5 linked regions of the Callithrix jacchus genome follow. The protein of the gene in region 2 interacts with the protein of the main gene of each other region in a pairwise test. Links are inferred from orthologs where the notes say so. Each region holds a gene or a part of one and is shown on either strand. Other genes may lie near its edges.

What was found. The genes of interacting proteins can lie anywhere in the genome.
Region 1: the proteins of GRB2 (region 2) and WIPF2 interact in binary tests that used the Homo sapiens proteins (3 or more experiments, as listed by UniProt). The link is inferred for Callithrix jacchus from reciprocal best matches to the Homo sapiens genes GRB2 and WIPF2.
Region 3: the proteins of GRB2 (region 2) and WIPF1 interact in binary tests that used the Homo sapiens proteins (3 or more experiments, as listed by UniProt). The link is inferred for Callithrix jacchus from reciprocal best matches to the Homo sapiens genes GRB2 and WIPF1.
Region 4: the proteins of GRB2 (region 2) and HELZ interact in a two-hybrid assay, tested with the Homo sapiens proteins (2 studies listed by BioGRID and IntAct). The link is inferred for Callithrix jacchus from reciprocal best matches to the Homo sapiens genes GRB2 and HELZ.
Region 5: the proteins of GRB2 (region 2) and EP300 interact in a two-hybrid assay, tested with the Homo sapiens proteins (2 studies listed by BioGRID and IntAct). The link is inferred for Callithrix jacchus from reciprocal best matches to the Homo sapiens genes GRB2 and EP300.

Annotation. Positions count from the first base shown.
Region 1 is NC_133506.1:93,036,427-93,041,636, forward strand, and holds the start of WIPF2 (WAS/WASL-interacting protein family member 2), read right to left. Parts: upstream 3,106-5,210; 5' UTR 2,975-3,105; exon of another isoform or gene 2,950-2,974; intron 2,802-2,949; exon of another isoform or gene 2,651-2,801; intron 1,571-2,650; 5' UTR 1,478-1,570; intron 1-1,477. UniProt on the Homo sapiens protein: Plays an active role in the formation of cell surface protrusions downstream of activated PDGFB receptors. Plays an important role in actin-microspike formation through cooperation with WASL.
Region 2 is NC_133506.1:131,225,946-131,230,382, forward strand, and holds part of GRB2 (growth factor receptor-bound protein 2), read right to left. Parts: intron 2,610-4,437; coding exon 2,487-2,609; intron 1-2,486. UniProt on the Homo sapiens protein: Non-enzymatic adapter protein that plays a pivotal role in precisely regulated signaling cascades from cell surface receptors to cellular responses, including signaling transduction and gene expression.
Region 3 is NC_133507.1:54,781,654-54,786,559, reverse strand, and holds the start of WIPF1 (WAS/WASL-interacting protein family member 1), read right to left. Parts: upstream 3,106-4,906; 5' UTR 2,963-3,105; intron 1-2,962. UniProt on the Homo sapiens protein: Plays a role in the reorganization of the actin cytoskeleton. Contributes with NCK1 and GRB2 in the recruitment and activation of WASL.
Region 4 is NC_133506.1:122,057,036-122,061,956, reverse strand, and holds the start of HELZ (putative helicase with zinc finger domain), read right to left. Parts: upstream 3,106-4,921; 5' UTR 2,967-3,105; exon of another isoform or gene 2,587-2,966; intron 2,359-2,586; exon of another isoform or gene 1,966-2,358; intron 1,000-1,965; 5' UTR 944-999; intron 1-943. UniProt on the Homo sapiens protein: May act as a helicase that plays a role in RNA metabolism in multiple tissues and organs within the developing embryo.
Region 5 is NC_133502.1:191,897,601-191,902,758, forward strand, and holds the start of EP300 (histone acetyltransferase p300), read left to right. Parts: upstream 1-2,053; 5' UTR 2,054-3,278; coding exon 3,279-3,372; intron 3,373-5,158. UniProt on the Homo sapiens protein: Functions as a histone acetyltransferase and regulates transcription via chromatin remodeling. Acetylates all four core histones in nucleosomes. Histone acetylation gives an epigenetic tag for transcriptional activation.

The DNA of each region.
Region 1 (5,210 bases), about 38 Mb from region 2:
AATTCCCAAGACTTTCAGGCACACTTCTTCTAAGCTAAACAAGTTCACTTATGAGCAAAGTGTTCAGCGTATTATACCCAAAGAAAAAGCTAAAAGTCGGGGTTTCAAAGGATTAAAAATAATTTAAAATTGTCCACAAACACACTGATCTCTACCAACTGACAAGGACACAGCAACTAGACCTAAGCATAAGGCTCAACTGTCCAAAATACTATTTTTCAGTGAATTCTCAAAGAATCCATGAAGAAAGTCAGTGTCTGTCAAGCCACCACAAGGGCTGGGTGTGGTGGCTCACACCTGTAATCCCAGCACTTTGGGAGGCCAAGGTATGCAGATCACTTGAGGTCAGGAGTTCAAGACCAGCCTGACCAACATGGTGAAACCGCATCTCTGCTAATACAAAAAATCAGCCAGGCATGGTGGTGCGTTCCTGTAGTCCCAGCTACTTGGGAGGCTGAGGCAGGAGAATCACTTGAACCTGGGAGGTAGAAGTTGCGATGAGCCAAGATTGCGCCACTGCACTCCAGCCTGGGCAACAAGCACAAAACTCACTGAATATGCATCAAGTCAAAACCAATTATTCCCTGGTCGGCCCGTGAGCACACACACAAAGGAGCAAGGCTGAGAGGAAGAAACAGAAAGACATGTTTCCTTTTTTTGTTTTTGTTTCTGTTTGAGGCAGAGTTTCACTCTTGTTGCCCAGGCTGGACTGCATGGCATGATGTCGGCTCACTGCAACCTCTGCCTCCTGGGTTCAAATGATCTTCCTGCCTCAGCCTCCCAAGAGGCTGAGATTTACAGGGACCTGCCAACACATCCAGCTAATTTTTGTATTTTAGTAGAGACAGGGTTTCACCATGTTGGTCAGGCTGGTCTCAAACTCCTGACCCCAGGAGATCCACCCGCCTTGGCCTCCCAAAGTGCTGGGATTACCGGAGTGAGCTACTGTCTCCAGCCTTCTTTTTCTTTAAAAGACAGGGTCTTGCTATGTTGCCCAGAATGGGCAAACTCTTAGGCTCAGGCAATCCTCTTGCCTTAGCCTCCCAAGAAGCTGGGATTACAGGCAGGTACACCATTGTCTATCTTCTAAATATTAATATCTCAATCTCGTTTTTCAGAGATCACTTCTATGCAACCACTTAAAGACCCCATGTGTTAACACAAGCTTTTAGAGGGAGGGACAGATGAGACCTGTATTTCAAAAGGGAAAAAAAAAAAAAAAAAGTTTAATGATTTGCCTTGAAGGTAAATCCATAGGTAGGCCAAAACCTTCCTTATTCCCTGAGGTTCTCTTCTGATTTGTAAAAGGAGAACAGAATAGCCAAAAACATTCAGTAAGACAGTCAAAAACCAAAACTGTAAGGCAAAAATAACACGATGAAAAAGGAATGGAGACCCTGGGAGAGCCCAAAGCAGTCACAGATTACTGAAGTCCTTTAAAGAATACAAATTCTGGGCCAGGCACGGTGGCTCATACCTATAATCCCAGCACTTTGGGGGGCTGAGGTGGGAGGATCACTTGAGACCAGGAGTCACAGACCAGCCTGGGGAACAGAGCAAGACTTCTTCTCTACAAAAAAAAAAAAAAAAAAAATTATATATGTATATGTTAGGCAGGAGTAGTGGGCCCACCTGTGGTCCCAGCCACCGGCAAGGCTGAGGTGGGAGGATCACTTGACCCCGGGAGATCGAGGCTTCAAGGAGCCATGATGATGTCACTGCACTCTAGCTTGGGTAGCAGGGTGAGACCACGTCACTTAAAAAATAATCATCATAATTCCATCACATACCAGCTCCTTGCCCCAATATTATCTAAGATATCTAAGAACTTTCCAGCCATGCGAGGTGGCTCAAGCCTGTAATCCCAACACTTGGAAGGCCGAGGCGGGCAGATCACCTGAGGTCAAGAGTTCGAGACCAGCCTGACCAACATGCTGAAACCCCATCTCTACTAAAAATACAATTAGCTGGGCATGGTGGTGCATGCCTGTAATCCCAGCTACTCTGGAGACTGAGGCAGGAGAATCGCCTGAACCTATGAAGCGGAGGTTGTGGTGAGCCGAGATTGTGCCACTGCCCTCATCCTGGATAACAGAGCGAGATTCCACCTCAAAAAAAAAAAAAGAACTTTCCTTCCTGATCAAAAACTCGACCATACATACTGCCATGCTGAACACTTTAAGATTTCCATCGTGGCGTGGCGCAGTGGCTCACACCTGTAATCCCAGCACTGTGGGAGGCAAGGTGGGAAGATCGCTTGAGCCCAGGAGTTCAAGACCAAACTGGGCAACAAGAGCGAGACTCCATCTCAAAAAAAAAAAAAAAAAATTCCATCTTCCCTCATTTCGCACCACTTCAACATGAACCCTCAACTCTAGACGTTCCAATGTGCATCTCAACATTCTCAATCCAACCTTTAACTCTATCGTGATTCCTTTTCAACCAACGCTCTCAAGATTCCCTCCAGTGTAAGCAGTTTCCCTAGCCATCTTCCAAACCTCTACCTTTCACCTAACTCAATCCCCAAAATGTCACACTGGGCTCCTCACCCACAGCATCCTACTAATTAGCTGTTTCCAACAGGTCCTCCGTTCCCGTCTCCCTTTTTGCGCACGATTATCTCGTTCCTCGCCCTGAGTTGCCTCCTTACCTCACCCAATCCGTCAGGAGCCCTATTACCTGTCTCTCAAAATCCTTCCTCCCCATTTTCCCAGTATGCGCTAGCCCCAGACCAATAACCGACCATTCCTCCCTAGACTTCCCACATCCTCTCTCTTCCAGGTTCTTCCGATCCAGCCCCTAGGCCCCCGCCCCTCAAGCCCCGCCCCCAAGACCCTTCTCCCCCTCCAGCCCCTCCTCCAATGCCCCACTCTCCTCACGCCCCGCCCCAAGCCCCCCTTCCCCGGCTTTCCCTCCCAGGCAGGTCCGCAGGTCATTTCAGTGACGGACCCAGCTGCCCTGGCCTCTTTCCAACCTGGCCGCAGCTGCTCTGGGAGCGAATCCTTCACCGCCTACACTCCGGCTTCGTCTTGTACAGCTCGCCCCCCGGCAAGCTCTCCCTCTCGCCGCCGCCGCCGCCCCTTTTGCCAACCCGGAAATGGATCTGCTCCCACCGTCCCCAGCATCCGCGAACAAAATGGAGGCGGGGGGGAAAAGGAGGAGGGAGCAGGGAGTGAGGAGACGCGAGACGCATGCGCTCCTGGGAAGCTCGCCCCCTGCCGGCGCAGTTACAGGCGGAAGCGGGTGAGTGGCTGCCATCTTGGGAAGGTCGCAAGGGTTCCGCTTACCAGATAAAAACAGAGTTTGCAACGTTAGCTGCAATTGGAATTACCTGGCAAGATTTAAATAACTATGATGCCTGGTTCCCACTCCCGGAAATTCTAATTTAATTTCGGGGTGCAGTCTAGGCATTAGGAAATTGTGCAGGTGATTCTAACGTGTTGTCTAAGTGGAGAACCACTGAGCGAAACAGTCATTTTTTAATATACTCCTTTCGTCTTTAATCCGCCGCACACACACACCCTCCCTGCTAAATATCTTTCCCTAATCTCGAGTTAACCAAGAACCCGCATCAGCCAACCTTGCACAGTCCAAGCAGTCAAGCTCCGGTTGGCATAGCAACCGGCTGCCTCTGCTCACAAGTCATCCTTTACGTCATCTTAGCCACCTGACCCTCGTCTCTTCTTTCTCGGGCTGGGGTTTCCTCCAGCTTCCAGGGCTGTCGGATGGTGCTATGGACTCCTCCAGCTGCTTGGGCCACGGAGAGAAATCCTGTGCCCTCCTTGATGGAGCTGCTGTTAACCCCTGACAGCTGACTAAGGATCTCTCCCTAGTCCACCCTGAAAAGCGCTTTCCATTATAGCTTCAAAATACTCTTTGGTTTAATTCCGTTCCTAGCACAGAATCCGAAGTAAGGGGACAGGACTGGGACTTAGTCACCATTACTTACAAGCTGTGTGCCCTTGGGCCTCAGCTACCCTATCTGTAAAATGGGTCTAATAGTGCCTGTCCCGTCTGTCTCATAGAGTTGCTGGAAGGCTGAAATCAGGTAATGAATGGGAAAAGATGTAATAGGCCGTAAGTTATTATTTTTGTTTTCCTTCTGTTCTGCCATGAGTAGTACTAGGCACCACCCACTACTAGTCAAGTAAATGTCACGTCTAGTACCTGCTAAACACCAAGAAATGGCTGCAGAGGTGACTAAGACAGAGTCTCTGCCCTCAGGGAACTCACTACATTGGTGGGTAGACTGGTGCATAAACAAGCTAGTTGACATACAAGTCAGCATGTGACTAGTGCTGTCGGATATCAGAGAAGGGAGTGACTAATTCCTGCCAAAGAATGGAAGGAGGTTTCCTAAATGGTTTGGAGCTGGACCTTGAAGGATGAGTGGAATTTTATTACTAATAAGAGAAGGCACTGAGCACATTGCAGGCATGGGATCAGGGACACAAGGTAAAGATTTTCAACTGTCTACATCCTGCATGCCCATAGGTGGGGCGATGGAGCCAGGGAGACAGCAGGTCTAAACTCCTTCCCAGAGCCTCCCAGCTCTTCAACCTCATCTCCTGCCTATTCCCTCCTCACTCACTTTACATTATGAGGACCTGATTTCTATCACTGCAATGTACCCCATACAGCAGTTCCTATCCTCTGCCTCTTCCTCATTTTTCTTTCTTTTTTTTTTTTTAAATGGCGTCTCCCTCTGTTGCCAGGCTGGAGTGCAGTGGCACCATCTCGGCTGACTGCAACCTCTGCCCCTAGGGTTCAAGTCATTCTCCTGCCTCAGCCTCCCAAGTAGCTGGGACTACAGACTGATGCCATCACGCCCAGCTAATTTTTGTATTTTTAGTAGAGACAAGGTTTCACCATGTTGGCCAGGATGGTCTCGATCTCTTGACCTCATTATCCACCTCTCTAGGCCCCAGTGTTCCTTTTTTATAACACATATTTTGCAACACTACTATCTGTGAAATTAACAGATAATATAATATGCCTGGATACAAAATTTCATAAAACAAATCAATATGATGTCTTGATTATAAAAAAGACAAATAGGCCGGGCACAGTGGTTCACACCTGTAATCCCAGCACTTTGGGAGGCCAAGGTGGGTGGATCACCTGAGGTTAGGAGTTCAAGACCAGCCTGGCCAGTATGGTGAAACCGCATCTCTACCAAAATACAAAAAGTTAGCAAGGCATGGTGGCGG
Region 2 (4,437 bases):
TGGCAAATCGAGGGCTATCTGCCCACATAAGAGATGTCTTCACAATCAGTGACAGCAGACAACAAATCTCCTCACTGCGTGTCCTTGGGACAGACACCTCCTATGACTGATGGGCACCAGCACAACATGAAAAACTCTCACCAGACAGGGACAGGCCACCATTCACTCTACTTCTGAAGATGTCTGTAGGGTTAGTCCATGTGCCCTGCACCCTACCACATAAACCATGTTCTTACTTAAGACAAAGGAGTGTGACCTAACTTCCTTTGAATCAAAAATTAGTATCTTACATGTGATATTCAAAGACTAGAAAAGCAGGCTGGAAGAAGGTGAGGAGGGCTGGAAATACTTTCAACAATTCTCTCGTAACTGGGAATACTTCAAAGTCATGTTTTCTGCTCAGGAATTTTAGCTCCACTCATAGGGAAAAGGTCTCTGAGCAAAAGGACATACTGGGACAATAAAAGAGGTCCAGGCTTTGAGACCCAAAAGTGTTTCCATCACCAGATTTCACCCTTTTATACTGGCTGGCAAAACTGGCAAGAGCGTGACTGTCTGGTAGTAGCTAACAGGGTCTGTCATAGGATATTTGGCTAAAACACCAGCCCAGCGAGGGCGCTTCTGCCTAACCTGTTCACCTTGCCCAGCACTAAAAAGGTACTCTCGGAGTGCTTGTTCAATGAATGAATGAGTCCCTCCTTAATTTCAGTCTTACAACTAAAGGCTTCAGAAAATCAATCCGGCAGGTGGCAGCACTGAGCTTCAAGGCAGCCACTGAGTACAAGATGCCCCTCAAAAAAAAAAAAAAAAAAAAAAGACTGCTTTTTCATGCAAGACAAAATGAGGAAGGTGAGAAAGCTTCATTAGTAAGGGTATATTTACATGGTACTGTTGGCCCACAGAGGCCCACTTCCACCCATGCAATGCAGATGGTTTCTAAAAGAGCCCAGGGCCCCAATAATGAGCAGTATGTTAACTACTATGTTTCAAATCACAGGCTCAAAACATCCTAAAACTAAGAAACATCTGAAGACTGTTGATTCTTGAACCTCTTTTACAAAGGTGTGTGTTGCTGAAGACAGTCATGACACCTGCTTTGTTTCTAAAACAATAAATACACTAAATCCTTAAAAGATTCTGCTTGAGATGGCTGGGCACGGTGGCTCACGCCTGGAATCCCAGCATTTTGGGAGGCCGAGATGGGTGGATCACCTGAGGTCAGAAGTTTGAGACCAGCCTGGCCAACATGGTGACACCCCATCTCTATATATATTAAAAGAAAAAAGAAAAAAAAAGATTAAAAAGAGTAAGATTCTACTTGAGCAAATGGAAGCTTGGGAGCTTCTGCTGAGCAAACAGCCTCCAGTCGAGCATGTGGCTGCCTCCTGGTTCTGGCTGCCACCCAGCGATTTACTGCTTGTTCCCCTCATCTTATACAGTCTCAGTTACATAAACCCACCCCAAGATGCTCTTCATCAGACCCCTTTAGTATATCAATTTTGGCTTTTTCATATGTTGGGAATAAAGACTAACTCCACTTAAATATATTTACAAGGTATTACTAATATCATGTGGAATCTCTCATGCCTTCCTTTAGAAAAAGAACACATCCGGGGGTACAGTGGCTCACACCTGTAATCCCAGCACTTTGGGAAGCCGAGGTGGGTGAATAACGAGGTCAGGTGTTTGATACCAGCCTGACCAACAGGGTGTCTACTAAAAATACAGAATTAGCCAGGTGTGGTGGTGGGTGTCTGTAATCCCAGCTACACAGAAGGCTGAGGCAGGAGAATCGCTTGAACCTGGGAGGTGGAGGTTGCAGTGAGCTGGGATTGTGCCACTGTACTCCATCCAGCCTGATGACAGAGCGAGACTCCATCTCAAAAAAAAAGTAAAAGACACAGAAATAACAAATTAATTCCAAATTCTTACTTCACAGATGAGGTGTGAACTGTTTCCTTCAAGTGCTAATTTCTATTCTCCAAAATTGTTCCAAGGTGGCAGAACTTCCTTCTTCACCCATCTGAACTTTCCAAAGGGGAAACCCAAGCCCCAAATCCCCTGTGGCAGCCTTCTTAAGTGACTGTGAGGGCCTAGGATGGGGCTGGTGGATTGAAGCTAGTGGACTTGAGCGAGGCAAGCCAAGGCAGCCAACAGGCGCTCCGCTATCCCATTAGAAAGAGTTGCGGGAATCCCTTGAAGGGCAGCAGCTCGGGAGTGCTGCGCACTAGGGAAAACTGGCAGGCTTGGGCTGGCTGCAGAGAGCTGCTGCTGACCTCCTGAAGGCTGTGTCCACAGGGGAATATACATCCAGTGCTGCTAGAACTAATTTGAGAGGAGCCAGAAATGAGGATTTTAATGTGAAATGAAGATACTGTTTAGGCTAAGCCTACACCATTTTGTGTAGCCAGCCACCTGTCCGAAGGCGTCACAATTTGCATCAGTCAGAGACAGGATTCCAGGCAACTACAGCAGGAAATACTTACTTGACAGACAGGGAGAAGTCCCCAGGAGCGCTCTCACTCTCTCGGATAAGAAAGGCCCCATCGTGCCGCTGTTTGCTAAGCATTTCTTCTGCCTTGGCTCTGGGGATTTTGCCAAAAAACCACCTAAGGAAGGAAGGCAATGGTCAACATCTGCTTCCCCACAAAGAAACGGGAAATCCAGCCTTCGAACTGTGAGGAACATAACACTCCTTGCCAGAGGAAGGGGCCTCCCTCCCCATCCTCCAGCCTCACAGTGCCCAATATCAACATTTGGTCAGGTCCCCCAGAGATGGACCTTCAAATGTCTTTACCCTACTCTATTTCCCAGAAAGCAACTCACCAAGGCAGTAACTGTGGGTCACTCTTTTTATAGAGGAAGCCATTTGCAAACAGGCCTCACAAGCCAAAGCCCACTGGACTTCTTACTGACTCATCAGAAAGGCACCCGGGGAAAGGCCCAGGCCTTTGGGTTTGGTATACAAGATGAACTGCCAACGAGAGACTGGCCCCTTCCTGCAGCCATGTGATAAGGTCGCAGCTTTACCACAGTGGGAGTAAGGGAAAGTGGGGAGGAAAACTGGAAGGCCCAGGATCTGGAGGCAGGGTTACTTCTGCTAATAGCCCAAAGGCAAAAGGTTCAGACTGTCTTAGAGTGGCCTCCACCAGTAACTAAGGTCAGCATTTCTCTCAAGGCCTGCCTCTGGGGTCACTGCTCAGAGTTCAGCTTTCAGAAGCCACCAGAAATATTGTAATTTACCATAGGTGCAGCAGCTAGCTGCAAAATTCAAAATTTTGAAGCAAGTTACAGGCTCTTCCGCTCCCAATTGCTGATTCACCTTGGCCAGAAGAAAAAGTGGCTAAATTCATGAAAACCTGTGAAGCAACTGGCTGTTGCTTATCAAGAAGAAGAGGAGAGGAACACTTCTACATGAGCTTGGAGTCAAACTGCCTGGCTACTTCAAATGAAAACTATAACTAATTAGGAAGGAGAAACTGTGAAAACCATGTTCTCTTCTCAAAATCATCTTTAATTATCATTTTTAAAAGCAAAAGTTATTTACAGCTAATAAAGACCTATTTACATGAAAATTGGCATTCATTTAATATGGTAATTATAATATAAAAAGTCCTTTAATGGACCAAATAGTCCATTAAAGTTGTAAATCTAACTTGCATATCTTATTTATAAGTAAGCATATTCAAGATGTCCCTAAAATAATATACTCAAATTCAAACAGAAAGATGTGAACTGTAGGAAGGACATGCTGAGAAGCTGCCCTTAGTAACTCTGAACAGTCCGGTGTCTGCCTACTGGAAGCTTTCTCATTTCGCATACTCTACTGCCAGGCTGTTGAGGAGCGGGGACCATAGATCCTCCTGCTTCTACAAATCACTCAGGGCTAAGGCCTGCAGTGCCTAGAAATCAGGCCACACAAGAGGTATCACATTATCACTAGAACAGAATTCTCTCTAAATATAAAAGGACAGGCTGTAATCCCAGCACTTTGGGAGACTGAGGTGGGGCGAATCACTTGAGGTCAGGAGTTTGAGACCAGCCTGGCCAACACAGTGAAACCTCATCTCTACCAAAAAGACAAAAAATTAGCCAGGCATGGTGGCGGGCGCCTATAATCCCAGCTCCTCCTGAGACTGAGGCAGGAGAATCACTTGAAGCTGGGAGGCAGAAGTTGCAGTGGGCCCAGATCGTCCATTACACTCTAGCCTGGGCAATAAGAGCAAAACTCCATCTCTAAATAAACAAACATAAAAGGACAGTTAACAGTTTTGAGACAATTTAAATCTTTTCTCATATTGGGGGCCTTGAGCTTCTAATATAAGTGTATGCAGCATGCATCTGACTGGGAACAGCAGTGAAAATCCACAGATGGCCTCAGCTTTCACTACCCACACTGCTGGGAGAGGGTGAAGCTTCTTCATCAGCCAAACTCAC
Region 3 (4,906 bases), on a different chromosome or scaffold from region 2:
AACTAGACAAGGGACAGACTTAAGTTATTTTGACTTGATCTACATACCTATAACACCTACAGAGTGAGGAACAACGGACAAATGTCTGCCCTAGCAAACAAAAGTTAGGGCTGAGTGAGGACGTATTCATCTGTCACAGGGAGGTGAAACCTAAACTGTTCCTCAATTGAGGCAGAGATGGTGGGACATGATGTGAATGTGCTTATTAATCTTTTGATGCCTGGCATACAGTAAACACTTAATAAATATTTGTTAAGTGGAGAAATGAATGAAGGGCTGCCTCCATCCAGTTGGACGCCTCTGAATTCCCTGTATTTGGTCTGTACCTTTTTCACCTTATTTACCAAATTCTGCCTGCATTCCTGCTGTTTGAAACTGTGTGTCATTTCTACCAGAAAGTTAGCACTCAGGTGCAGACTTCATCTCTTTCTGAGCTACGTCTTCCTTTCTACCCACCTACCTAGCACAGAGTATAGCTAGAACCTCTAGCAGGGACCTGAGATGCTCAATGAGTATCTGGCTTGATTCCAACTGTGACCTGATTCTATGTGGGTCCCTGCTAGCCACAAGGCATAAATAAGCCTACCAAGCCTACAAGAACCATGGTATAATTGTGGATTGCTGGGAAACAGCAGCAGAGAGACCTCTGTGCAGAAACCATTAAGAATTCAGTAGACTGCATTGGAGGGAAGGCTTCAGGAAGACCACAGCCCTGGGAGTTAAATGCCAAATGTCAGATGCTTGAAAGCGAAGGGGTTATAGCAAAAAATAAAAGGCACTTTTGTTTCATTTATTCTCTCAGTATGTGTTGTGGAAACCACCTATGTTCCTAAAATTACAACCATAGTTAGAAACACCTTGAAATAGGAAAGATAATGACACAGACCCAGTAATGAATACTGTCTGCTAAAAGGGGTTCATGTCTGGCCATAGCACCTGAGACAGTAAATGTACAAGGTCAGGGCATACTACCCTCTCTTCACCACCCACCCTTCTGCCCATTATAGTTTTTGTGTCTTGGTGCTATGCTACACACTGCATGGTATTTGGATAGTATCTGTATCACGCTGCTTTTGCTGCTTCCTTCACACCCCTTTATCCTACATGATCCTCATACCCTGTAGTGGACGAAGAGCAAAGATTATCAACCCCATTTCTTGGATGAGGTAAATGAGGCTCAAATTGCATGATATGACTAAGGGCACCAGAAAGTTGGTGAATATATTAAAGACAATTTGTAAAATGAACATATCCCCCCAGCTGGCATGAATTTCCCCAGCTGGAAATAATCTCATTCTCTTTAAATATCCCGGAATTTGATCTTACCTTGCTTACAAATCTCTTTGCACTACATCACACAACCTAAAAGAGTGATGTTTTCATGGAGCCAAAGATATGACAGGGGTTGGTAGGTCCCAGGAAGGAAGATAATATTACTGAACTAGTTTCATAACATCTACAGAGTTTAGTCTGAACATTTCTATTCAACAGGTAATAGGCTCTCACAGGTGGCTGGGGGTTTAGACTATAGCACCTCCAGGTCTTGGAGAAACGCAGCCTTGTGGGGCTGACAGGGTCAGGTAGACACACACAGTCACAGTAGAAGGCAGTGTTGTGTGCACTGGAAAGGGATTAAGAGGCAGAGTGCTGACAGCCTATCAAGGGGTTTCTCATCTCAAGAAGTTATTACAAAAAGGTGATTTACAAACTAAAGTAGAACATTTCTTGGTGTTATTTTATCCATTACAAAAATAAGCAGTTTTGATAACGAAAAAACCTACCAACGACTCAAAATGAAGCTACAGTATTGTTTTGCAATTGCTTTGGGAAGCTGGCAAAAGAAAACCCACCCAACGTGGAATATGTTCACGGGCTCTGCGGCTGCACCCTCCTCGAGTCTGAGGCTACATGCAGCCAGGGATGGGGGAATGGGAGTGAGGAGCGGTCCAGAGGGGGTAGAACGGACACACGCTTTTCAGTGAAAGGGACCAAGTCCACTTGGTCACTGAGCCAACTTGAAAGGCTTCCCAGAGAACTCAGTAAGGCCAGGAGCCCGTGGCTGAAGAAGGAATATTCCAATTTAAGCAGGACCAGAAGACCTCGCCAGGATGAGTTCCTCACACAGCCACACCCTTTGTTAATCGCAAAGACCTCAAAGTCCAACCACCAGTGATCTGACTTGGAGCTTTTAGCGATTAACAAAAGCTCACAGCGACTGGGTCAGCTGCTTTCCCTTACATTCGCAACGTTAACAGTTCTTTCTTTAAAAAGAAAAGTGTGTGTAGTGGAAAAAGGTAGGGGACGCGAGACTGCAGTGAAGCTGTCTGGAGAGTTCGGGGGAGCACCCCCCTCAACCATCCCCACTCGTGGTGAAAAGTCGTGACGGGGACTGGCCGTGCCTCTGAGGCCGACGCAGACCCCTAACGCGCCAGTCTACACGGACCTGGAGCAAGCGGGCGGCCCGGGAGCGCCGGGAGGGAGGCGGGCTGGAGCGCGGGAGGGGCACGGTTCCCACAGCCAGGCAGGCGGGCGGTGCCAGAGCTTGAGTCGGCCCCAGGGGATGCCCGAACGTCCCCCTCCGTCCTAGGTGGGGTGTAGGTGCGGCCCCAGGACATCGCCGCGAAGCCCCTACTCGGGAACTACGGAGATAGTGGGTCTCGAGCCCCAACGGGCGGCCCTGGGTCCGCGGAGCCCAGCGGTGCGCCCAGCCCAAGGCGCGGGACCCCGGCAGTCCACCGCCCCTTCCTCCCGGGGCCATCGGCCAGAGCAGAACGCGCGGACCACGGGCCCGGAATCGCGCCCACCGCTCTCAGGGGACGCGGCCTCGACGTCCCCGGCCGCCCCGCCCGCATCACCGTTCCAAGCGGCGCTTCTGAGCCCCGCCATCGAGCCCAGCCCCACCCGGTGTCCCCCCCCCGGGACCCCGGAACCCCGGTCGCGCCAGACGCGACGCGTCCCTTACCGCACAGCGGCTCCGGACGACTCCACTGCCCCGCGCCGCGCGGGGCATTTTTTCTGGGAAACTTCTCCCGGGGTCCGCAGGGCTGAGCCGGGCGGGCAGGAAAAGCTCTCAGCGCCGGGAGGCTGCGACCATCCGGGAACTTCGCCGAGATGTGGGCCCTCCCCCTCGGCGCCCCGGCCCCCCCCCGCCGCCCCGCCACATGTGGACGCGCCGCGAGGCCCCGCCGGCTCGCGCCCTGCCCTCCGCCCGCCCGCCCGCCCGCCCCGCAGGCAATGGGGCTCCGCGCCCGCAGCCTCGGCCGGCAGAGGAGCGCGGCGGGGCGTGATTGTCGGGGCTGGAGTCAGTGGTTTCCCCCGTCCCGCTCCCCTGCGGGGCGAGGGGGCCGAGGCCAGGGCGCCTGGGACAGGAGTTTGCAGAGGAGAGGGAACTGGAAGGGGAGTAGCTCAGGGCCTTTCCCCTCAACCCTTGAATCCTCTCTACCTCCTCGTGGCTGCTGGCGTCAGTCTCCCCCAGCCGGAGGGAACACCTTTTCCCACGCTTTCCCCTCTGCTCTCAAAAACAGCGGGTCCAACTTTCAGATGTCTGAAAATCAAATTCATTTTTAAAGATGGATTTAAAATCTGAGTGAACCCCACGGAGACCCAAGGTCCGTATGCATCTGACTCCTGCCTACTGTGTAGGGACAACGTGCTACTCTTCCCTCGAAAAGATGCCGCTTCACCCCACCAGTCGGTCGGAATTGAGTCGTTTTGCCGCCAGTGGGGATGGATTTATCCTCAGCCACCCACATCCTTAAATACGGTAGGATCCACAGCAAACGTGGAGAAACGTGAAGCTCTACTCCATTGCCAGAGCTAACTCCTGCTCATAAGGAGGCTCTGTCCAGTTCAGAGAGCTGCCACCTCCAGGCCCCAAACAAAAGTTAACACTCACTAAGACGATGCGGCCGCTGGGAGAGTGCATTTGAAAGTTCTCGTCAGTATAGTAACAATCGGATCATATTGTTAAAATATCAAGGCTGTGTATCGGTTTGAATAAAAGCAGGAGGGTGGGACTATAAAACCACCTTTGCAAAATTATAACTGAGGAAATTGTGACAGTGAAAGAAATCAGACCTACAACCTACTCTATCTTGCTTCTAACCTTTAAAGTGTACTTGTTCACTCCTGGGTGTAGCCATTGAGAAATAATTCAGTTTATGTTTTAACTGAAACAAAATTGGTAATATCCCTTTCCCAGAAAGATTCCCTTCTTACCTGGGGACCAGTCTGCCTCACAGGACTAACAAATTAGCTATACGATTAGAAATTACAGTTTAGGGTTCATGCAGCCTCTCTCCCGCTCTGAAAGTCTGAACCTCCCCAAATTACTGCTGGGGATAACAATACTGTTGTAAAACCTAAGATCAGTGGTTGAGATATTTTACAGACCCTGAACTCAGTTACCAGATACCACCCAGATAGGTAATCTGGCTTAACCAGTTCTGCCATCCCACCTAGGAACAGAAAAGAGCAAGAAAAACTCACTTTGATCCCCCACCATGAGTCCATCTCCAATCTGACCAATCAGCACTCCCTACTTCCCAAGCCCCTACCTGCCAAATTATCTTTAAAAACTCATCCCAGAATGCCCAGAGAGACTGATCTTAGTAATAATGAAACTCTGGTCTCCCGCACAGCTGGCTCTGCATGAATTCGTTTTTATCCATTGCAATTTCACCGTCTTGATAAATGGGCTCTGTCTAGGCAGCGGGCAAGTTGAACCCATTGGGCAGTTACAAATAGATGCACTTTAAAATTGTTACACTATGCTGAGGGGGCTTCACGGGATCCCGGCTTTCTCTGCTCCTGTACCACTCCCATGTGCACACGTATCTCTCGACATGTTTTTAACAGATACAATGATGCTTCTGGGAAAGACATTTAGTAACATGGGAAACTTCCC
Region 4 (4,921 bases), about 9.2 Mb from region 2:
GAGAAAAAAAGCACAGTTTATTCTTCTTAAACAGATGTTGTGACAAACCTGAAAAATTTGTGAGAGGATTTCAAAATCCAGAAGCCCAGATGTGGTGGGGGGGGGGAACTACAGTAACTAATCAACTGACCACAATTACATTTTTCTAAAAAAAAAAGAAAAAAACTTAGTAAAATATTTTAGGTTGAGAAAACTGCTTGTGAAAAATGTAAAAGTAGCAAACTTCTCTTCCTCTCTCTAGCAGAGAAAACTGTTCACTAACACCGTATCAATAATATCCTTTAAATCCAAAGCATTACCAATTAGATTAAATGAAGCACTTTGAATTCACATACCATGTGTGATCAGAACATAATGATAAACTAGTCTTATCCCTAATAAGCTAAACAGATCTCAACACCATCATCTTTATTTCAAAATAACTATTAAAGAGACAAAATACTACTCAATTTTTCAGAAAATAAAACCAGGAGTGATTGACCTGCCTAATTGTTTCCAATGGAAAGGGTGTACTTTACAAGAGTCCCACAAATCATGAATATACAAAATCCATATACACAATCACCAGCACTAAATGTACAGAAGGTGACAGACACCAAAACACAAATAAAATTAAGACATCCAATTAAAGTTATGCAAGAAAATTGTATTAGGAAAACTATAATTACCCCTGGTGAAGATACTGATCAAGAATAGCTGCAAGTAACGTTTGGCTCTCAGTAAGTACCACTATGTTTGAGTATGTTAGAGCAACTGAAAAGATTGGTACATTCAACATATTTTTCCTTTCTAAATCTAGCCCTGCTCACAGACCCATTTGACTGAGTGATATATTTGGAAAACAAAGATGGCCCCACCAAATTACTCAGTTTCAGCCTTACTCTTGCGGATTGATTAAAATAAAGAAGGAAAAAAAGGAAATAACTTTTAACTGCAGTCTCACCTTACACATCTCACCAGCACTGTAGTTCATTAGTGATCAATTACTTCATCCAATTCCTGAGGCAAATAGAAAAGATGTGTCTATACAACACCAGTAACAGACATTATCAGCAGCAAACATTTTATCAGCCTTAAGTGAAAGGGCATCTAAATTTGAAATGGAAAAAGTTAAAAAATGGTACAGTGTGTAGCTTTGCAAGTGAGTGTTTCTTTGACCTTATAACATTTCCTTTCAGTAAGATAAAAGAATAGATTATTCCATGCACTTAAAACTAAAAAACATAATAGTTATCTTTTTCAACCCGGACTGACCTTACTTTCAAAACCAGAAAGCAATGGAGAGGAAATTTTATTAATATGCGTTTAAGAAAGAGCAAAATTAAGAACAAACTAGGCAAGACAGACAACTCCTCCCTCCTTCCCCCACTCCAGGAATCCACTGTCTCTGAAGTTACACTGTATTATATTAATGATTTGCCTTAAAAGTGTAAGTTGTGAGGGAAAAGGAATGACAATTTTTGAACTGCAAACAAAACCTGAGGATCCTGATCCGAGAAGAATCACAGGAGCCTGACTTCCTGCCCTGTCTGAAAGATTCTCAGCAAAGGCTAGGGTGCAGAAGGCTCCAATAATTTGGGGGAGAGGAATCAAAGTTCCCTAGGTAAGACTGCAGTCTCTGAGCCCTTGAAAAGGGTACTGGAGTACTCTCAAGGAATCTCCAGGAAAAGAGAGCCTATCTTTATTTTTGTTGATGTGCTTGTGGGCCAAAGAGCATTTCCGAGGAGGGGGCGGGGAAAGGGGGGAAGAAAGTGAATCTCGGGCCAAAAGCCCTCCGCGGGGGAGGGAGGGAGCGCACCCCTGACCCACTTTTCCCGAGGACCCCAGCTCTGGCCTCCGCCCCACCCGGTAGAAGTCCGAGCCCTGAGGGGGGCATCGAGCAGGGCGTGGGAGGCCCGCACGCTCCCCACCCCCAGCCGCGACCCAGAGGAGGGGAACGTGCAGGGAGGCTCGAGTCCCCCTCCCAGAGTGCCCCGGGCCGGAGAAACCTCCCGCAGGCTCCCGGGCCCGGCGTGCAAGGCACCCTCCCCGGCCAGGGCCCAGGGCGCCGCGGCCCCCAGCGGAGGGGACGGGGACTGAGTAAGGGAAGAAGCTGTAAACAGCCCCAGCGTCCGGGCCTCGCCTCGAAGAGCCCCGCTTCCCAGGCCCCGCCGCGGGCCGCCCCGGCCCACAGCCCGCCCCGGGGCCGCCGCGCCCCGGGACCCGGACACCGGAGGGTAGTCGGGTCAGCTCCCCGGAGAGCTCCGGGAGCTCGCGGAGCGGCCCCAGGAGCAGAGAAGGGGGAAGTCAGGACTTACCTGTCATTACTTTCTACGCCATCTTGGATCCACTTGTCAACGTCCCCACAAAGCATTATGGGTAAGAAAGAGCCTTTAAAGTGACTCCCCCCGGCCCCCGACTCCCGCCTCCCGCCGCCGGCGCCGCCCCCTCCGGCCGCGCCTCCCTCCCGGAAAGTTGCCCCGGGTGGCGAGCCGGCCCCGGCGCCCGCAGCCCGGCCCCCACCCCTCCCCCGGGCGGCCGGCATTGAAAATTCACCCGCAGTTTTGAAACGTGGCTTTGGGGTTTTCTCTCTTTTTCCTGCCCCAGCCTCCCTGCCCCCACGCCCGGTCTTCTTGACCCACCGCGCTCCTGCCCGGGCAGACGCCCCGCGTCTGCATTGAATCAGCCCGCGGTTTCCCTGCCGCTGGCGGCGCGGAGCAGCTCACGGATTTATTTGTGCGCGTGGATGTGAGCGTTTCTGCTCCTGCGGCCCCGCTTCCAGGAAGCCCGCGGGCAACAGGGGTCGCCTTCAGGGCCCCGTAGACCAGCTCCGCACCCGCCGGCCGGAGAGGTGCCTCTGGCCCTGGGAAAGCGCCCCGGGGCCGTCGGGCTCCGGGAACTGGGAGGACGGCGTGTCCCCGAGTCCACCAGCGTCGAAGCACGATTAAAAAAAAGAAAGAAAGAATGAGCCAAATGCAACTTTTTACCCCTGGTTTACTCAGCCTCCCGCGGTCTCCTCCTCCCGGCGGGTAACGTGATCCGCGACCCTCTAGGTGGAGACCCCTCCCCTAGGAATGTGGCTCCGGGCTCCGCGGATCCCGCCTCGGAGCATCCGGGCTGTGGACTGTGACTCCGGGGCAGGTAATCGGGGGCGCGGGCCCGGGGCGGGGCGGGGCGGGGCGCGGAGGCCGCCTGGGCTCGGGGGAGGGTCCCGGGCGGAGAGCAGGTTGCGCCTGTCCGGATCCACCTGGCGGGTCCCAGTCCGGCGGCAAACTAAGGCGACGGGGCCGGGGGAGAACCCCGGACGCCGCTCCAGCTCGAGAGGCAGGAGGTGGGGACGCCCGGCGTCTCCGGGCTTCGACCTGCAGCGTTGGAAAGTGCGAGACTCCTCGGCGCGGGCTGGGGTCTCTGACTCGGGCGAGCACCCCTAGCCTGCCTTCCCCCTGCTGCAGGGCATCCTCTCCCTGCGACACCGCACCAGCTTTCGGCTGCGCAGGGCGAGCAGGAGAGCACTGGCCCTGGGCCCTGACCCGGTCGCCGCCTGTACCCTGGAGCCCCGGCGTCCAGCCGCCCAGGTCCCCCTTGCGACTGAGATCCGTTGTCACCCTCCGCCCGCGTTCTTCCCAGAACCTCAGGTCCCTGATTTGCTGTCTTTGGAGGCCTGCTCCAGTTGCTTTTTTTTTTTTTTTTTTCCCCAAGCAAGTTTTTACAACAAGGAGGTGTCCAAAAGAAAACCCTCCAAAACAGGAATGCTTGCTAATTGTATTCGGTGCAAAATGCTGTTGAACGGCTCTGCATTTAAAAGAACGCACAGGCACCGGCTTTAAAACCTTCTTTCGGTGCACGGGGAGGGCCTGGGCCTTGGGTCTACCTGAGGGTTTTAGGCTCCTCCAGACCCTATCAGCAGCCTCAGGAGGAACCTGGACAGTGGCAGGCAGGAGCCCTGCCCCCGGGGAGCCAAAAACTCCACCAGGCAGTTGTCCCGGTGTGATGAGAAGAGTGAGGTGTAGACACATTGAGGGACTGGCCCCGGGTCACTCGCGAGGGAGGGAACGAGGTAATGAGTCATTCCCAGCCAAGAACGCTGCGTGCTGGGGAGCAGCCTCCCCTGAGTCACCTGCTTCTCAGCTCAGAATGAGTGGAGAAACTGGAGCCTGGAGCCAGGTTCTTAGACCACCCAGCTTTGGTAGCCACCAGAGGCACGGACTAGGCTAGGGGGAGGCGGTGCCCCTCCTGCTGGAAAAATGGAATGCTTGGCCCATCTAAAGAAGGCTCCAACTTTTTCCAGGGAGCACCCCGGGTGCTTCTTTTCCAATTCCGCCTTTGCACTTATTTAGCCACTGGTATGCACTGACTCAGTGGTTGTTCAGTTTGCATGGCACCTGTCTGTGTAGTCTGAGGTTACTATTAGGTTAATGCAAAAGTAATGGCAAAAGTCACAATGACTTTTGCACCAACCTAATATAAGTAAACAGGAAATAAGCTGAGGACAAGGACTGTGCCTCCCAAACACGTTTCTTTGATAGGCAGCTTTTCTTGGCCTTGCATAGACATTGATCCAAGTAAGTGTTCAGTTTGTGTGGCTGCGTCCAGTGTGCGCATCCAAGCCCAGCCTTGTCAAATACACCCCCTGTTGCCTGAGCTGGGATGGCCTGCCACCTCTTCTCCCAGCCCCTACTCTGTACCTACAGTGCATCCTCCACCTGACCAGCCCTGTGACTTTTGATTAATGTAAATCCGATCAAGACTCCTCTGCTGAAACCTAACAAAGCCTTCTCCATCACACTTGGAATACAGAACCCAAATTCTCAGGCCATTCGCCGTGGCTCACACCTGTAATCCCAGCACTTTGGGAGGCCGAGGCAGGTGGATCATGAGGTCAATAGAGAGCAGCCTGGCCAATATGGCGAAACCCTGTCTCTATTAAAAATGCAGAAATTAG
Region 5 (5,158 bases), on a different chromosome or scaffold from region 2:
GGGTGATCTAGGCCTGAACATCACAGGACAGAATCCATCCCTGTCAGCAACTTGACTTGCTCCATTAGGATCTTCACTCTTAGGTTCTTACTTATTCATCCCATCACTTCTTTTTTCTTATTTTATTTTTATTATTCATCCCACCATTTATTTAGAAAACAGAGAAAAGAAAAAAAAAAGAACAAAACAAACAGAAACAATAACAGAAACCAAAGAAAATCCAACAATTCGCAAATACAAACTACAGAACATGAGATATAAAATAAAAGAAAAAGCTTTTTTTTTTTTCCTTTGGAACAGAGTCTCGCTCTTGTTGCCCAGGCTGGAGTGCAATGGTGCAATCTCGTCTCACTGCAACCTCTGCCTCCCGGGTTCAAGCGATTCTCCTGCCTCAGCCTCCCAAGTAGCTGTGATTACAGGTGTGTACCACCATACCGCCTAATTTTGGTATTTTTAGTAGAAACGGGTTTTCACCATGTTGGCCAGGCTGGTCTCGAACTCCCCCTCCTCAGGCGATCCACCCGCCTCAGCCTTCCAAGGGGTGGGATTGCAGGCGTGAGCCATCGCGAACTTTTTTTTTTTTTTTTTTTTGAGAGGGAGTCTTGCTCTGTCGCTCAGGCTGGAGTGTGTGGCAGTGACAGGATCTCAACTCACTGCAACCTCTGCCATCTGGGTTCAAGCGATTCTCCTGCCTCAGCCTCTGAGTAGCTGGTATTACAGGTGCGTGCCACCACACCAGGCTAATTTTTGTATTTTAGTAGAGGTGGCTTTTCATCATCTTGCCCAGGCTGGTCTTCAAATCCCAACCTCGTGATCCACCTGTCTTGGACTCCTAAAGTTCCTGGGATTACAGGTGTGAGCCACTGAGCCCAGCTTGAGAAAAAGCTTTAAACCATATCAATAGATAATAGTTTGTGAGTTTCTTTGGGGGTCACTTACACCCATACCACCTTCTCCAGTAACAATTTACACAAGGTCAAAACACAGGGTAATGTGTAGAAACCCGAAAGCATGTCTCCGACCTCAGCTGCAAAACTGCTGGGTCCCACACACTGGACTTTCCCCCCGTTACATTTTTGCTTTTTTCCATCCTTACCTTTACCACATTTTTGCTTTTTCCCATAATTACATTAGATAAGGCACTGGCTTGACGTGGTCTTTTATTAATTTGATCTATTGGGAGCAGACGGAAAAAAAAAAGAAAAAAGAAACCTAAAAATGTCTTCAGGTCCCAGGCGTGTTCAGAAAAGAAAGACTTCTGTGGTGAGAGTGCTACCTGGTAGGGGCGTATGGACGGACACACGTGGAGGGCAAGAAATGTTGGGTCTGGTGCCGAAACATCTTCCTTCCCACTGCTGTGATTTTTGTTTTCTGGTCAAAGTAATATATGCTCGTTGTGGAAAAAAAAAAAAAAAGGAAAATTCAGAGGAAATTGAAAACAACTCGTAATCAACGTGCTTTTTGGATGTGAACTACTCCCTTTGGGAAGCCAATGGAGAAGTGAGGATGCACTGGGTATTCGGCAGTGGGTACACCCTGGCTTATGGATTCGACCGGGGTTTGGGGGACCCGCCACTCAAAGGCCAGGAAGCAGGGCCGCCCCACGGGCGCTCCCCTTTGGCCATCTAAGTGGCGACTTGGCGTCTTCCTCGGCGCAGCTCCCGGGCTCAGTCGCCCAGGTTCCCACCGGTCCCCTACAAGAGACCAAAGCCAGGAACCTTCCCTCGTAACTATCGACCGACAGAAAATAGATTGAGTCCGCCCCCACCCCTCCCCCCTTAAAATCCTCTCCCCTCTTAAAAATCCTCCCCTTTAAAGGGAGCCACAGGGTGTCGCCGGGGGAGTTTGCGGAAGCGCTAACCGCGTTGGGGACTAGGGCGGATCCCGTGATTGGAACCGGCCCCGCCCCCGGCGCCACTTCCCCCATTGTGTGAGCGGCTCGGGCCTAGGCCCCGCCTCCCTTCGGAGGCCCGGCCCCTCCCCTTTTTCACCCCCCTCCTTTGGCTCATTTCCGGCCGCCGCCGCTACCGCTAGCCTGTAAGGAGGATTCGGCAGAGGGAAGAAACAACAGCCGCCATCTTGTTTGTGTGCTAGGTTGGGGGGGAGAGAGGCGAGAGGGAGCGGGCGAGAGTGGGCAAGCGGGACGCCGAGCTGAGTGCGAACTGCGGGAGCCAGAGAGTGCGGAGGGGATCCGGGACGGAGAGAGGCGGCTGGGGCCGAGACAGTGGCAGGGGGCCTGGGGCGCACGGGTTGAGGCGACCCCTAGCCCCCTCCCGTCCGCACACACCCCCACCGCGGCCCGGGAGCGGGGCCGGCGTCGACGCCTAGGGGGGACCATTACATAACCCCGCGCCCCGCGGCGCCTTCGCCCGCCGTCGCGGTCGGCCCCGAGCGGAGCCCCGGGGGGGCGGGCTCTCCCAGCACCTGGCCGCCGGCGGAGGGGACCGTAGCGGCGGCCGTATTTATTTATTTTCCGCGCGAGAGGAGGGCGAAGGAGAGAAGCGCGGCGCGAGGAGGGGCCGCCTGCGCCGCCGCCGGAGCGGGGCCTCCTCGGTGGGTTTGGCGTCGGCGCGGGCGGGCGGCGCTGCTCGGCCCGGCCCCCTCGGTCCTCTGGGCCGGCCAGCTCCGCGCCTGGCGTTCTTGCCGCGCCTCCGCCGGCCGCCGTGCGATGTGAGGCGGCGGCGCCAGCCTGGCTCTCGGCTCGGTTGAGCTCTCTGCGGCCATTAGGGGCCGGTGCGGCGGCGGCAGCGGCAGGAGGAGGGTTCGGAGGGTGGGGGCGCAGGCCCGGGAGGGGGCACCGGGAGGAGGTGAGTGTCTCTCGTCGCCTCCTCCTCTCCCCCCTTTTCGCCCCCGCCTCCTTGTGGCGATGAGAAGGAGGAGGACAGCGCCGAGGAGGAAGAGGCTGATGGCGGCGGCGGAGCTCCGAGAGACCTCGGCTGGGCAGGGGCCGGCCGTGGCGGGCCGGGGACTGCGCCTCTAGAGCCGCGAGTTCTCGGGAATTCGCCGCAGCAGACGCGCTCGGTGAATTTGTGCTCCTGTGCCCTCCTCCGGGCTTGGGCCCAGGCCCGGCCCCTAGCACTTGCCCCTACCTTTTCTATCGAGTCCGCATCCCTCTCCAGCCACTGCGACCCGGCGAAGAGAAAAAGGAACTTCCCCCACCCCCTCGGGTGCCGTCGGAGCCCCCCAGCCCACCCCTGGGTGCGGGGCGGGGACCCCGGGCCGAAGAGATTTCCTGAGGATTCTGGTTTTCCTCGCCTGTATCTCCGAAAGAATTAAAAATGGCCGAGAATGTGGTGGAACCGGGGCCGCCTTCAGCCAAGCGGCCTAAACTCTCATCTCCGGCCCTCTCGGCGTCGGCCAGCGATGGCACAGGTTAGTTTCGGCAGCCCCGGCCTTCCACGTTCCTCTTAATCTTTTCTACTCGGTGCTCCTTTATTCCATTTTTTTTTTTTCCTCTCTCCCTGTCCCTTAATTAATTTTAAAGGTATTTGAATGAGCTGATCGAAGACGTCCAGTAGCCCAACCATTTTCTTTGCCTCCTAATACATTGGTTGCAACACTGTGTCATATCGGTGTGTGTTCTGGAATTAGAGCTCGTAAGTGGGTGCTGTATAGAAATGGCCTGTATTGTTGCTCCCGTGCAGTTTAATTTGGGAAATGCCAGTGCATTTATGAGTAAGAGCTTCTATGCAATTTAAGTTTTAATTTTTTTTGTTCTTGGTAAATGAAGAATTTCGAATCCTTTCTCCTCATTGTACTTACTCTATTTTCTCTACTTTCCACCCTTTTCAAAATTTTCTCTCCTTTGCAGAATATTTTCTGTTAAATAGGATGTAAAAACTTGATTTTTGTGTGTGCGAGGTCCAAGATTTCAGATTAGAAGCGAAGTTTAACAATTGTTTTGTCTTACCTACCCTTCTTAGCTTTTTCCCCCTGCTTTTTCTTATTTGCTGTAAGAATCAATATGGAGTGCAGTTCATCTCACATCTTCCAGTTTTGGTGTGAGACCAAAATGTCTGAAACTCTGGATTTTCAGGTTGTGAGAACAGGGTCATGTTCTTTGTAGTTTGCATTCACTTTATCATTTTAGGAGGAAGAAAAAAGATAAACAATTTTGTGGAGTTATGTACCTGAAAATCAACGTTAGAAGTTGAAAGAGTTCCAGTCAGGAACTACGAACATGAACTGATTATACAAAAGTTTAAAATGTGCATTAGCTTTGGTGTTTTTGTGTTTGTCTTTTTACACTTTTAAACACATTTGGAGATCAAGATTTTTATTTAAAAGCTTTCCGGATTCTTCAGTTCATTCAGTTGTGGACCAGCCCCTTTGTCAGAGAAGTTCAGGGAGACTTCTTCCATCATCCCCTTCATTCTCTTCTTACAGTTAGTTTAATGGTGTTATCCTGATGGGCGAGGACCTTTTCTTTGCTGGAATAATGAAGATGAAGAATGGCTGGCCATCTGACAGCCCACAAGATGTTCCCCTTTACTACGGAGCATCTCTTTAACTCCCTGAGAACAGGCTCAACGTCATCCTTCCATCTGCCAGTGAGAGTGCATAATGGAGTTAAATGTACCCTTTGAGTTTGTAGAGAACTTGGAGAACATGTTTCTAAGTAGGCTTCATTTCAGAGTGAATATGGAAAGACGGAACAAATGCTTTGAATTCGTTGCTTTTATAAGAAAGATGTAAAATGAATTTCAGTTAACCTGCAACAATTGGGAAATAGGAATCTTGCAGAGTTCCTCTATTTAAGGCTTGTAACACTGATTATGCATGTACTTTGATCTGTACCTATTCTATGAAGGTACTGTAGTCTCCAAGGATATTTTTTAGCTGTTTTTTTTCTTCAAAATTCACGCACATAGACGCACATCATTGTATTCCTTTGCACCTACGAAAGTGCCATTCAGAAGGATTTTTTAGATCATCTTTACACACTTATTCACCTGTAGATTTTTGTGGTGTTCCTTTAGTGTTTGTGAAATGTGGTACTTTTTGCATTTTAGTTTTGGTGTAATGTCATGGAGTTTACGTTGGAGTTAGCCAGAGACTTGGAAAGTAGGGGAAGCTTTTTAATACACTTTACCTTGATGAGTCCTGATTTGAGCGGCTTCATCTTGGAGCTGTATTGTTTAACTGCTTATGTTCAGGT